2 linked regions of the Oreochromis niloticus genome follow. The protein of the gene in region 1 purifies or fractionates together with the protein of each later gene. This does not show direct contact. Links are inferred from orthologs where the notes say so. Each region holds a gene or a part of one and is shown on either strand. Other genes may lie near its edges.

Evidence for each region.
Region 2: the proteins of fxr1 (region 1) and orc2 purify together in Homo sapiens (affinity purification with mass spectrometry; 4 studies listed by BioGRID and IntAct, with this or other methods). This does not show direct contact. The link is inferred for Oreochromis niloticus from reciprocal best matches to the Homo sapiens genes FXR1 and ORC2.

The regions. Positions count from the first base shown.
Region 1 is NC_031981.2:30,302,368-30,309,877, forward strand, and holds the start of fxr1 (RNA-binding protein FXR1), read left to right. Parts: upstream 1-4,504; 5' UTR 4,505-4,609; intron 4,610-4,711; 5' UTR 4,712-4,774; coding exon 4,775-4,825; intron 4,826-7,510. UniProt on the Homo sapiens protein: mRNA-binding protein that acts as a regulator of mRNAs translation and/or stability, and which is required for various processes, such as neurogenesis, muscle development and spermatogenesis.
Region 2 is NC_031982.2:7,479,049-7,486,191, forward strand, and holds the start of orc2 (origin recognition complex subunit 2), read left to right. Parts: upstream 1-4,073; 5' UTR 4,074-4,232; intron 4,233-4,491; 5' UTR 4,492-4,493; coding exon 4,494-4,563; intron 4,564-4,655; coding exon 4,656-4,814; intron 4,815-5,427; coding exon 5,428-5,514; intron 5,515-5,634; coding exon 5,635-5,724; intron 5,725-5,815; coding exon 5,816-5,847; intron 5,848-5,939; coding exon 5,940-5,997; intron 5,998-6,101; coding exon 6,102-6,412; intron 6,413-6,502; coding exon 6,503-6,612; intron 6,613-6,695; coding exon 6,696-6,828; intron 6,829-6,917; coding exon 6,918-7,014; intron 7,015-7,088; coding exon 7,089-7,143. Other genes in the region: uncharacterized protein LOC100700781, read left to right, coding at 479-624, 723-852, 1,190-1,340, 1,446-1,626, 2,049-2,167, 2,655-2,781, 2,930-2,992, 3,094-3,199 and 1 more. UniProt on the Homo sapiens protein: Component of the origin recognition complex (ORC) that binds origins of replication. DNA-binding is ATP-dependent. The specific DNA sequences that define origins of replication have not been identified yet.

The sequences.
Region 1 (7,510 bases):
CTGATTGGTGGATTCAAATTTAGCAGCTCCCAGGCTGCTTGACTGACCTAGAAACTTGATTTTCTCTCCCTGTGTGTGTGTGTGTGTGTGTGTGTGTGTGTGTGTGTGTGTGTGGGAGAGAGAGACAGAGAGAGAGAGAGAGGGCGAGAGAGAGTTTTTATGGGAGCATCTTATTGTATGATTTAAATTCAATATATTTAGACTGGTTGACTGAATTTGATCCTGTGTGTGTCTCTCTGTGCTTGTGGGACTTTTTGCAGCTGTCCATTTTGCTTTTCCAATTTTTCTATTTAAGTTATTACTATTGTGCTAAGTCATAGCATTTGTGCTGCTTTTCAGTATTTGTGCTAAATACAGCATTTCTGCTAAATCATACTATTTCTGCTATTTTATAAGATTTGTGCTAAATACAGCATTTGTGCTAAATCATACTATTTCTGCTATTTTATAGGATTTGTACTTAATATAATATTTCTGCTTAATTATAGTATTTCTGCCATTTTATAGTATTTGTGCTAAAACATAGTATTTCTACTAAATGCAGTATTTCTGGGTAATCATTGTATTTCTATATATTTCTGCCAGGTCCCCAGGGAGTCAGTCCTAATATTCAAATTTACATATCAGGACCTGGACGGCTTCCCAGCCAGCCAATCATATCTGAGTCCTGGCACATTTAAATTTGCATATTGGGGCATTCATGGCTTCCCAGCCAGCCAATCATATCTGAGTCCTGGCACATTCAAATTTGCATATTGGGACCTTCATGGCTTCCCAGCCAGCCAATCATATCTGAGTCCTGGCACATTCAAATTTGCATATTGGGACCTTCATGGCTTCCCAGCCAGCCAATCATATCTGAGTCCTGGCACATTCAAATTTGCATATTGGGACCTTCATGGCTTCTCAGCCAGCCAATCATATCTGAGTCCTGGCACATTCAAATTTGCATATTGGGACCTTCGTGGCTTCTAAGCCCACCAATCATCTATGTCATATATCTCTAATATTTCATATTTTTATTTTAAATGGTCAGCATTTCAAGATTCCCCTATGTCTTCTGAATAAAATGGTCTAAGAATGACTGTTTTAGCCCCTACGGTTAGAAATTTATGGCTGTTTGTTTGAGGGGAATTCTCACTATGAGAAATAGACTGCAAAAATCCTGTCTCTCTCTGTGCTGCATGTGTAAAAGCCTGCACTTAGTGCACCAGTTTTGGCGGGAAAAAGCACACAGCCTCTCTGATTGGTGGATTCAAATTGAGAAGGTCACAGCTGTTTGACTGACCTAGAAACATGCTGTTAACAGCCCCTGTTGACTTTCTGCTGCTGCTGCTGCTGTGTGTGTGTGTGTGTGTGTGTGTGTGTGTGAGACAGAGAGAGAGAGAAAGGGAGGGCGAGAGAGAGTTTTTATGGGAGCATCTTATTGTATGATTTTAATTCAATATATTTAGACTGGTTGACTGAATTTGGTCCTGTGTGTGTCTCTCTGTGCATGTGTGTTTCAATATGTGTCCATATTTGTGATTGTGTGACTGTTATACTTTTTTTTGCTGATTTTCTTTTCATTTAACAATTACATTTGAGGGACCCTTAGCATGCTCAGGATTTTTTCAGCTGTCCATTTTGCTTTTCCAATTTTTCTATTTAAGTTATTACTATTGTGCTAAGTCATAGCATTTCTGCTGCTTTTCAGTATTTGTGCTAAATACAGCATTTCTGCTATTTTATAAGATTTGTGCTAAATATAGTATTTCTGTCAAATTACAGCATTTCTGCTATGTTGTACTGTTTCTCTAAATCATAGTATTTCTGTAATGTTTAAGAATGTTTGGCTAAATATATTCTTTCTGTTATCTTATACTATTTCTCCTAAATTCTTGTATTTTTGAGAAGTTATCGTGTTTCTAGTAAGTTACAATATTTCTGCTAAGTTCTGCTATGCTATTGTATTTCTGCCAAGTATTATGTTTCCTCTAAGATATTGCAGTTCTGCTAAGTAATTACATTTTTGCTAAGTTCTTATGCTTCTGCAAAGTTATTACAATTTTTTGCAAAGGTTTTACAACTTCTGCAACTTTTCAGCTTTTTCAGCTAGTTTCAGCTGACAGCTTCAGCTTTACAGCATCCACACTGCATTTTCGCAGGAAATGCAAATTTTTCTAGTTTTAGTTGAATTTGGATGTTGGGGCTTTCCTCTTTATTTGCAACTACACAAACAGATATGACCACCTATTTGTTGCAAGTGATCCTTTTGGTGTTTTTTTAATAACTAAACAAATGTCCAAGTGACATTTCCAAACTAGATGAATCTGTTCTCCATCCAACTTGACATGTATCGATGAATAAAAATACTAGCTTGCAAATATCAGTGTACACTGTGCACACACTGATGTTATATTGCTGAGGATGATTTTAACAAATAGTTTATCTCTGGTGCAGTCTGATGGTCTGATCAGAAATAATATAGTATCTGCTGCACAGTGATAGCAGACCTCAAGAGAATAACTAATCGCCACTAGGTGTCACAGTGGCTGTTTGTAAAAGATGAGCCAGCACCTGCTCTCTGTTTGCCTGTCTGCCACATTCAGTGTAGAGTCTTATGTGTTACACGTTCCTCTACCAAATCTACAGAGTAACTCTGTCAGGGAGCTTTTAGAAAATTATACTAGCTAAATAAATGATTAAAAGATACACTCAAATTAGGCGTATTTTTCCTGTGAAAACAGGGATAAAATAATATTGGATTCAAGCACCATTTGCTGGAAGCAAATGTCACCTGCACTGGATGTGAAGGTATTCTCAGTACCTGAGATATTTTGACAATTTTGAACATTTTGAGGTCAGCTGTTTTGTATTACATGGCTTTTATACACTTTTCTCTGTGCAGGAGAAATGAAGATCTCTTAAAAGGTAATGTGAACTTGGCTATCTGTGATAAATCATTATACAAACGAGCCAAACTTACTAATTTGAACTCAAGGAAATAGGCCATAGCATCCGGAAAAGAATATTGAATACTGCATTACTCCTCAGAATGTATGTCAGTTGGCTGATAACAGAAACACTGAAAATAAGTCTGTCAATAAGGCATTGCACCACAGGTTTCTAGAACAGTTTGCAAAAAAAGAAATTTGTTATGTTTTCCAAAATATTTTGGTAATATTATAATTAACATTACCAACCTGTGCGTACGCCTGGTGGCTAGAATATCTATTTGGGGGCTTTTTTTTTCAAGCACACCAATCATTTTAGTAACTACTGTCATCATTCTGGAAGAATGAACTTTCATCAGGACCATGAATGCTTCACTGTAGGACAAATGTCATCACTCTGTATGACTTTGAAGTGACTTGTACGTACAATGGCAATGCAGGGATTGAAAAGGGATTCACTGGACCAAATCCCCACCTGTAAAAAAAGAGGCGAGCAGTCAGAACTCTTCGCAAAAATGAGGTGAGGTCCCTGTATTCTTCTTTTTTTCTTCTTCTAAGGCAACACAAGTTTGCCTTTTCAGAGCTATTCATCAGACTGTTTAATTTTTCCCTGCTGCTCAGTACATTGCTACATTTTCTCATACCTGAGAAGATGTAGTTTCATAGGCAGGTAAAGCTGGATTTTTAAAAAAGGTTTAAACACTGGAAATTAAAAAACTAAAAAATGGAGAATGTATCTCTTAAGTTTGAATCTCGCACCACATTGATATGCACAGCAAATGTCATTTTTTATCATAGTCTAACCATTTGACCCTTTTTCTACAACTCTCATTATTGATGATGTTTACTTTTAGAGCAGCATTTCAAGCTGTATCCTACGTAGTGTCCCAATAAAAGAGACCTACATTTATATTCTGATAGTGGACTTTTTTTTTTTTTTAACAATTTCATATAAATTTAGAACTGTTGACAGTAGAGTCCAGGAAAGTAATGCTGAAGTAGCAGCAGATAGTTGCCCCTCCTTAAAGCGGGTACTTCCTGTTAAGATGGTGTTTTTCTGTTCCACCTTCACCCAGTGCCTGCTCATAGGGGGACGTTTGATTGTTGGGCTTTTCATTCTAATGCTTTAAGCTCCTTACCTTGCAGGATGAAGTGCAACATTTGCTATGATTTGGCAGTATGTAAATAAAATGAACCTTAATTGAATTCCTCCTGAAATTGACTGTCTTTAAGTTTGTGAGGGGGGGTTTGGTACTCCACTACATTTTCAGAGAAAAATTTCTCCTAAATATCACATAATCAGACCAAACTTTTTGTGTTATAATCCTTCCACCGTAGTTCTGCAAGGAAACACTGCTCAAGAAACTGAAAAGGGGATTTACTTTTTACTAAAAGTATTGCAACTGGGTCAGCTATCTTGACTAAGTAAGTTTGGTTTGATTAACTCAGTCTAACTATAGATTGTCTGTGTTATTGCAAAGAATGGAATAACTTGTACTGAAAGTGATTTAGTAGGTGTCTTCTAATTGTCATTATAACAGCAAGAGTAGATACAGCAAACAGTAACTACAGCAACAAGCTCTCAATGTACATTAGCAATAAAACGGGCCTGAAACTACAAAACATAAATAAAAGGGCATTCATCTTTTGTAGTTTCACTTTTGGTTTGTCAGGTAAGCTACATTAGGATAACAAGATATATTTTCATTTTAATTCAGTTTTGAATGTGCAAATTTTACATGTACTTCGTTGTTATACATTTTACTGGTGCTAAGATGTCAAGTCCTCCTGACGCTTGAAGGAGCACCTGTCGTCCCAACATCCTTTGCGTTTCCAATATGGAAGAACTGGCGGTGGAGGTCCGTGGCTCCAACGGGGCTTATTACAAGGTAAATACCGGCTTATCAATACAGTTTCAAGCATAAAAGTTTTTCATACGGTACAGTATTCTAGTTTAAGTCTCGTGGATTGTGGCAACATGATCCGACTTCCTCTGTACGTACCCGAGAGTTCGATATTAGCTTGTACTAGCAGTGCTAGCCATAATTAGCAAGCTAAGCTAGCGTCACTCCCATGTCCTCGCCAGCTGACGCTTTTGAGGACCTTTCTTTAAAGCCAGTTTGGAAGAACCGCAGTCTTGCATGCGATAACTTGAATACACAACACAGGGTAGCAGTTATTAATTTTACTTGACTTCTTGTGCAGCTTTCTCGAGCTGAAAGTTAGCTAACTTGATAGTTGCCTAGCTGTTGACGTCGAAAGATGTTGCTGAAGTAAGTAGTATCTGCATGTGTCATCATTGGCTATTGAGCTGATATCAGAAACACGGAGGACCAGCCCATTATACCTTCACGTAGTTTATTAAAGTGTGTCATGTTGTGAAGGCACCGTGGTTGGTGGTGTGAGAGATTTTGAAGTCTCTCTGCACAGACTTCACGACTGACTGTCGCTGTCTATTATTTGATACTCCATCATGCCGAAGCTATTTTTTCGGTATGTGTGAGCCAGCTGTTCCTTGTCAATCCCGACCAGCTGGCATGTGTGTCGAGTGGGTCACTGATACCATCGACTCTAAAGCTATTTCTAGACGTGCTGCCCACAGCAACACCCTCGCCTCTTCTCCCCCTATGTCTCCTCTCTCTTCTCATTTTTCTCCAAACTTCCAAGTTTTTCTTTCTTGTCTCACCTTCACAGCCCATGACTTCTTTTGTACTACTGCATTTTCACACTGTGCTCATTGCTTTTCCTTATTTAACCCAACCCTTTTCCCTGGGCGATTCTGTCTACCCTGCCACCGCTGTGTCTTAAACTCTTTAAACATACGTGTGTGTGCTTTCTTTGAATGTAATCAACACCGTCCTTCACGCAAGCGAGACACATGGCTTAAATAAGTGTCTGAACGCATTGAACCTGGGGTTCAGTACTGTCAAGTGTGGTGTGTGGGGTTGGGTACCTTTCACGTCTAACACTAGCACAGGTGTGGTGCCAAAAAATGATCCACTGTCAAAACTGATTTCTGATGTTTCTGTGTGTGCGTGTGTGTGTTTTCTTTTTGTTGTTGCTTTTTTTAATGATATCTTTACTTATATTGTTAAATAGACTGTAGTCATTAGAATTTATGAAGGAGTTATACGTTAAGTAAAGAAGTTACTAGTTTTACAGTGTTTTTACGTCTCTCTGTTATTGTGCCTGTGTATGAAAGAACTGTGATGATATATTTGTTGCGTTTTCCACTGCCCTCTTGGCCAGATCTCTCTTGAAAAAGACTTTTGTAATGTCAATAACACTTTTTGGATAAATAAAGGATATATAAAAGTAATTTTGCAGCTTCTACCTTGTGATAGGAATGTTGTTTGTAGCATCAAAATGACTTGATACCTTTCATAAGAGATATATTTGCCATATGTTTGACAGATTATAGGCTAACAAGTAATTTTACAACAGATAAAACAGATTTTTGGCAAATACTGGAAAGCAGTTCAAAACTTTCTCTTGCAAAACAAGTCCATACTTATCAAATCTATCATTTTGTTATTTATTTATTTATTTATTTAGATATTTTACACACTAAACTATCTGTGTTGGTCGCTATCTGTTACCATCAGTGATGCTGATGTCACTGTCGCAGTGTTAACATACCACAGTATTAAATAGTAGTGCTAGACTATTATCGGTTGTGGTTACATATTAAGGTTTCAGACATGCTATCTCACATAGTGTAAGAAAGTATGATTGTTTACTGCAGATAATATGCTAATAAATGCAGTGTTAAATATGTTAAAACATAAACTAAGACAGTGACAACAAAGCTCTATTTCTCTGACAGTAATTGATCTAACTCCCAAATTACCTGAAGAAGCTCATGAAGCTGTCAGTGTCTCACTAAAATACTTTTCTTCAGTTCATTGCCACTGTCCTTTGTTTTTGTTGTTCTTTTGTTTGTTTTCTGGTACTGAAATTTGACAGAAGAATAGCACCAAAAGTGAAAGGGAAGATTTTCAAGAGGGTATTGAAAGTTGCTGGTTTCACTGCCTGCAAGTTTGGCTTTGATTCAAAGAGAGGAAGCCAAGCTGGAGGTGGCAGAAGTGAAGATGTTTAGATTTTCAGTAGAAAATGTAATGAATGGACAAGATTAGAAATTAGTACATCAGAGCAACAGCTCAGGTTGAGCATATTGGAGACAAAGTTAGAGAGGCAAGGCTGAGATGGTTTGGACATGTGCAGAGGAGGGACATAATGGAAAAAGGATGTTGAAGATGGAGCTGCCAGGCAGGAAGAAATGAGGACATCACAGATGGTTTATGGATGTAATGATGGAGGACATGCAGACTGTTGGTGTGACAAAGAAGAATGCTAGGGATAGGGTGACATGGAAGCAGATGGTCTGCTGTGGGAACCCCTGAAGGAACCAGCTGAAAGAAGTCTTTGTTTATGGCTTTCAGATTTTACTAGTCCAGTTTTAAGATCTCTGCTGCAGAGATTTAACAACAGTATAGTTATTACATTTTTTCATCCATATGAAAAATTACAGCCATTGACGATCAGTTTACTAATAGATAAATACCTTGGTTTTA
Region 2 (7,143 bases), on another chromosome or scaffold:
TTTGTGCTGCATTTGTCTGCATTTTTTGTTGTTATTGTTGTTGTTTCCGATGCTTGTTATTGTGCTAGTGTTTACCCTCACTGTTTCACAAACGCTATTATGCAGATTCGAATGCAGTCTGATTTTATTCTATCTATCATTATGACGCACGATAATATTATCGGAAGGTCTTTATAGTAACAAAAAGAGGAGGAATAAAATACTGCTTAATGAGTTGCAGTCCATTTGTAAAGTTAGTGTTTAAGTTTAAGTTAGTGTTGTCAAAGTTCAAAGTGCGCTGCATTACATAATCAGAGACGTTGCAAAACCACACCCAAGTGTAATGAAGTTTACTTGCTGATTCGTGCATGTATAGCAGATACTTATAAATATAACTATAGAAATATGCTGGTTGAGCCAATCATGCAATAGAATTTAATTGCATGGGAAATATCTGAAGTGCTCTGTGTGTGTGTGTGTGTACTCCAGTGCTGCCAGTATGGAGGGAGATCCTCTCTCAGCCCTGTTTACTCCTGCTTTTGTGGTGGATGTGGATAAAGCGAAGAGGAATGCCCAGAGGATGATCGAGCGCTGCCAGAAACTGGGAGTCCAGCTTCGTCCACACATGAAGACCCACAAAACCCTGTATGGATTCATATGCTCACGCATAGACACGCACACAGCACATGCTTACAGACTTGCTGTGTATACAGGATTCTGATGAGGTCTCTGTGTGTGTCCAGTGAGTGTGCTGACATTATGACGGGTGGATCACAGAGGTGCATAGTGGTTTCCACCCTGGCAGAGGCCTGTTTCTATGCTGACCATGGATATGATGACATCCTCTATGCCTACTCTGTTCCCTTTGATAAGGTTCTCTCAGCTCACACTTTAAATGTGTCCTTGTTTTATATTCTGTGAAATCATAAAAGCTGTAAAAAATTAGAAATGGAAAAAATATATTATTAATAACTGAGCCTGCTGAAAATGTATCAACTATGAATCATATTTAGTAATATTATCACTAGAAACAATACATATATGTAAATATATGATACATGTATATCGCCATAGCACTTGCATGTAAAATAGCTCCAGTTCTATGCCATTACTTTGACATAATTTCTCATCTGTTTTATATTTGTTAGTTTTTAATGTCCCAGCTGTGCTCTCTGTGCCATTTCTAATGTATGTCTCTGTGTGTCTTTAGGTAGAGCGTTGTGCAGCCCTGTCAGAGAGACTGGATCTCTTCCAGATTTTATTGGACCATCCTGATGCTTTGGAGCAGCTCCGAAAAAGACCCCTGAAAGATGGTCGGCAGTGGCACGTCTGGCTCAAACTCGACTGTGGCAATGGGAGAGGTAAACGTGCAGGGAAACCGCAATAGATCTAATCATAAGTGCCTGAGCTACACTTCACCTCTCTGTTAACACGAGGTTTGATCATGCGTCGGCTCTTTGTCATAGCTGGCGTCCTGCACTCGGAGCCAGGAGCGCTCAAACTGGCTGAAGCCATCGCTAAGACGGAGGGCGTGGAACTTACAGGAGTGTACGCCCACTGTGGGAATACCTATTACTGCACAGGAGTTGAGCAAATACAGGCTGTTGCCCAGGAAACCACCAAACTGACTCTGCAGTTCATGGAAAAGTAAGCTGAAAGTTTAAAAAAATACATGTACACTGACTCATTAAAGCTGCTCTAATCAATCATTTTATTTCACTGGCTATTTAAGAACACACACGACATAAAAGCTGTTGCTCATACTCTTGAAAAATTAGTTTTTATGACCTATTTTAACATCTTTGTTTTAGTTTCACAGCCCACAGGTTTCTTGTATTGAGTCACACAGCTTTGTTTCCAGAAGCAACAAATAAATCATACATCATATCTAAAAATGATGTATCCCATCTTTTGCACCAGGCTGTAAACATGTTTATTTCTCCTCTAAATTTGAGCATTTTCTTGTGGGTGTGATTGACTCTTTTAGAGCCACCTGGAAGAATAATTCTGCATTAACTTTGTCTTTCAACTGGTTTTTTGTTTGTTTGTTTTGGGATTTTTTGTGTCAGACTGAAGGCTGTTGGCATCACCTGTAAGTCCAGCATTGGCTCCACCCCTACCTGTAGCCATCCAGTCAAAGACATGGCGCAGCTTAGCGAGGTCCACCCAGGAAACTACGTCTTCTATGGTGTGTACACGTAGACCCACTGTTTCCTAGTTTAAGTGTGACGTGTAAAATCCACTTTTTCGTTATTTGTTGTGTATATTCAATATTCCCAGCGTGACCCAGTAAACATGACACAGACCATGCCCTTTGATTTCACATCAGATGGGAAACATAGAATCGAAAGAGCCCTTTGCCCTATAAAAACAGTCCCTGACCGTACTGTGCTCTTAAGGTCATGATATTGCTGCCTCTTAGTTTTGTCTACTTGCCCCGACATGTTTCTAGTTCACTTCGGGACCCGACAACATTTAAAGCTACAGGCGCTGAAACAGCCTGTTTGGAGCAGAGGTTTATTAAACAGTCTATAGGTATGGCAGGATAAATGACCTTATTGGTATTTTGAGCTGAGGAATAGTCGGGAGACATGTCACATGTCACACTTAAAATATATTTTTCAAAAGGGCCTTTAAATAACAATTTCTTTTAAATGTATGTTTGTGGGATGCAGATGTGCAGCAGTCTACGATTGGCTCATGCTGTCTGGAGGACGTGGCTGTGAGGGTTCTCACAAGAGTCATCGGTCACTGTCCACACAGGAACCAGCTCCTGATTGACTGTGGATGGGCTGGAATCAGGTGGGTTCAACTTCATTCAGTGGGAGCTAATACCTATCCCCTATGTTCTGTTTTTTGTTTTACTCATCACTGCTATCATCAGTGTAAGCTCTGTTTTGGAACAACCATGTAACTTAACCTTTTACCTACTCTTGCTTGTGTCTCTCAGTTTGGACGGAGCTGGGAAACTTCCCACTGGATATGCTGTGATCGAGGGGCATCCAAACCTCAAGTAATGCTTCAAAAAAAAAAAGAAATCTCAGTCTATTTTAGTATCTTTTTTCTCTATAACTCTCAGTACCAATGTTAAACGTGACTGGCGTTTCCCTCCAGGTTGTTGTCTATGACCCAGGAGCATGGACGAGTGGAGCCCATCTCAGGACAACTGGACTACAGCAAATACCCCCTGGGCTCTCTGCTCACACTGATTCCCTACCACGTTAGTACTGAATGATTTATAGCACATCTTATTGACACATCAGTTTTATTGTACATTTTCCTGTTGTCAGACAATGCCTTTTTTCTGCAGTCATGTGCAACAGCAGTGATGCATCCTGTGTACCATGTACACTCTGAGGGTCGTCTGGTAGGGAAGTGGACGCCCACTCGCGGGTGGTGAAGAGCTGGACGATGTTTCCCCCTTCTTGTCTCTTTGGGACAGATGAGCTATATAGAGACTCATTCCAAATTATTTACACATTAGAAACACATACAGCGATTCCTTCTTTGTTAGTGAGATGTGTCATCTTGATGGTAAAACATACAATTAATGAAAATATTCTTACTGTGGGCTTCAGAAGTTTCATATTGTAACAGAAACCCTGTTTCACTAATTTAAATCTCTTTAAAATTAATTGTGTTCTGCACTTGTTTTGTCACTTTTTCACGGCCTACAAGAAGACCTAGCTAGTGATGACTTCATAAAAAGAAAGATGTTTTGTGCTATCAGCTATTAATACCAGTGCTAATAAATGCTAATGAATGACCTTTTATATACAACTGCAAACTTTTGTGATTTATTTTTTCTAACAAAATAAAAAGTTTCTTGGTCCCCTTTAGTCTTCTATTTTTCTGTAATCTATGAATAGATAATTGCCAGCGTTTGAACGGACACGTAAAAAATATCTTGGTGATAAATGTTATTTTTTTTTAATATTACAGAAAATACATCATTCGCATTAATAGTAACCTACATTACTTATTGAAAATATAATAATTAATCAGTCGGCAAAAACCCTTCCCCTGTAGGGTTCTAGCCGCACAGACTGAGCTGTTGTTCGAAGTGCATCTTGGGAAATGTGGTTTTAGCTGGAAGCAGCGTTCCAGTTGGCCACTGAATGACCTTTCACTTGTCACATGGTTTAAAAACTTCAGCAGGATGGCGCGGAAACTTGTCCCAGCAGCACACTGCCTTGCTGTCACTGTGTGAAAGTTGTGTTTACATTTTTGTGTGGCGGTACTGACGCTGTACAGTAAGTTGTGTCGTTTTAGACGCATTTTTGTTTCTGTTTTTATTTCCCACTTTTATTTGGACTTTCGGCGTGTGGCCGCTGATTGAAGCAGGGCTGTTTCTCGCTGTTTGAGAAGAATGGCCGCCCCCACAGTGTTCGTGAATAGAAACGGACTGAATGAAAACCTGCGTTAGGAACTACACCTCTGAAAAGCAAAGCATATTTTGTAGTGTTACAAGCAACTAACTAAAGTCGCGCTGTTTGTCGTTGTTATCTTTAGTCATGAGTGTGCTGGAGGTGAAGTTCATCGGGGATTGCGATGTCCTGGAGCACATCGTGGACAAGCAGGAGGGTATGGATGCTCTGCTACTGTAGAAATGTTAGTTTACGAGCACTTCTGTGTCTCTCTGACTCTGCTGTCTGTACTGTGCGTACCTCCATAAGTTGCGCAGAGCATCGCCGGGTCCGTTCAGAAGATGGTAAAGTTTAAGAGCCCGGCTGGACGACGGGGATGCGGAGAGGATGCGGAACATGATGGAGATGAAAATGGAGTCCACGATGAGCAGGATTATGTCCAAGCTTTAGGAACAGATAATGCAGAAGGTGAGTGCTGAGCAGGGGTAATGACTTTCTTCACCGGGAGGTTTGTTTTCTTTGCAGACAGACCGTGATCAGCTGACGATACTGCTGACTCAGGTTTACTGCTCTTTGTAGATTTACCCAAATACGTTTGGAAAAATGCAGACAGACGTTGGCTGATTTTCTAACTCTACACAGTCAGGCAAAGTACAAATGTGGAATTTCGCAAGTGCTGGTTTACCAGCTGAAATTCAAATCAATGACAGAGATTTGCATATAGTTAGCTCAAATCCCCTACAAAATCCTTGTAAAAATATTCATGTCACAGAGGTACTTATGATTATGGCAGGAGACTTTCTGTACACCTCAGTTTCACTCCATTGCACACATTAAGTGTGTTTGTCAGATGGACTATATTGCTGATATTAACATATTATATGCTTATCAGTACTGGCATATAGGTTGTTTGATTACATGAGTTTAAAAATCTTTTTAAAATTTTTGGTGGGAATTTTGAACATTCATAATGCTGTGAAATTTTAGCTTTGTATAAATGCATGAAAAATATATGAGGCTTTTTTTTTCTTTCTTTTTTTAAATTCATTTTAAAATGACCAGTTTTCTCTTGGATTTACAGAAGATGAAGATGGCTTGTCAAGAGTGGCTGGATCCTCCATCTTTACCTTTCAGAAAGTTAAACGCAGCCACAGCATGGCCCAAACTGGTGAGAGCCTCCATTCTCTTCTCACATAGATCGGAAAATTCGCACATTATACATCTCCTTCCAGTTCTTTCTTTAGATACCATATATGCTCATTTTGTGTTGCACACTTTCCATAAACAGCAAGTGAGCTGGCTCGGACTCCTGGAAAAAGCGTGAGCTTCAGCACGACCCCAAACTTTGAACCCTCAACCCCCAGTCGAACGGGGTGGAGTGAGTACAATGAACTTTCATAATCTTTTCCGTATACTCATCTTTTTGCTCATTTTCACACAGTTAAATATTTTCTTTTCTTCTATTTCAGACCCTAGAGGTGAAAGCAGAACACCACAGAAGGTGAGACCATAGAAACCTTTAAACTTAAAGTCCAAAGCCAGCGACCTCTGGTGCCAACTTAAGAATTTTATTTTATTTTTATTTAACGGCAGAGCAAAAAGGTCCAGTTTGTCTCTACAACACCACACAGGCTCAGGAAGAGAATAGCAAGTGAGTCTAACTGGGAATAATTCAATTCATTCTAAGTGAAATTTCACCTTTCCTCTAATCTAAATGTTTTGTTTTTGTTTGTTTGTTTGTTTGTTTGTTTTTAGCTCCGAGCTTGCGGTCAGACAGCGACAGTGAGCTTTCACCCTCTGACTCGGGTGAGGAGGAGGATGAAGATGGGCTGGAGGAAGAGCAGAAAGGAAAGAAAGAGGATAAAGAGAACGTGACCACACCGAGAACTCCCAGTAAAGGTTTATCAGCGGCTCTCTACAAGACTCCTGCCAAGAAGAGCAAGAGCACGCCCGAACCTCAGAACCAGCCCAGTATGGTTGAGGAGTACTTCGAAGCTCACGGCAGCTCGAAAGTGTTGACATCAGACCGAACTCTGGAGCGTTTGAACACCCCTAAACTTGACAGGGTTTGTTTTTAACGGCATTTTGAAACATTGTAAATGAGCTGCTTTCCTAATAGATTTAGTGTGAATTTATCTTTATTTTTGTTTTTGCAGGAAATGTTGGTCCGACTTCTGGAGGGGAAACAATCCTGCTACTCAAAAGAGATCCAGCAGCTGCACGACAAACACAGAATCCACTTTAGCAAATGGATGTTACAGTTACAGTAAGTGAGGTTGCAACGTAGTTGTATGCATTTTTCTGGTGTTTTAAGAGCAGTAAAAAGTGTCTGTGCCTGTCTGTGTGTAGGCTGGGATTCAGCGTGCTGGTCTACGGTCTGGGAAGCAAAAAAGCTCTGCTGGAAGACTTCAGGGAGTGTCATCTGTCGCAAGAAATTCATCTTGTGGTTAATGGATTTTTCCCTTCCATTACTCTTAAATCAGTCAGTATACACACACACACATGAAAATATTTTGCATAAATTGCATAATAAAATAAATATCCCTGATCATGAAAATTAAATTCTCACAGATATTAAATGCTCTGACGTGTGAGGTTCTGGATCACCAGGGAACTTTCCGAACCCCCTCGGACCAGATCCAGTTTATCTCCCACACCTTAAAAGATAGTAAGCCCATCAAACCCCTGTGCATCCCAAGCATGTGTGGTTGTACCGCATGTTTTACACCGATGTCCTCACAGGCCCAGATCTGCACGTGTACCTGCTCATCCATAATATAGACGGACCCATGCTGCG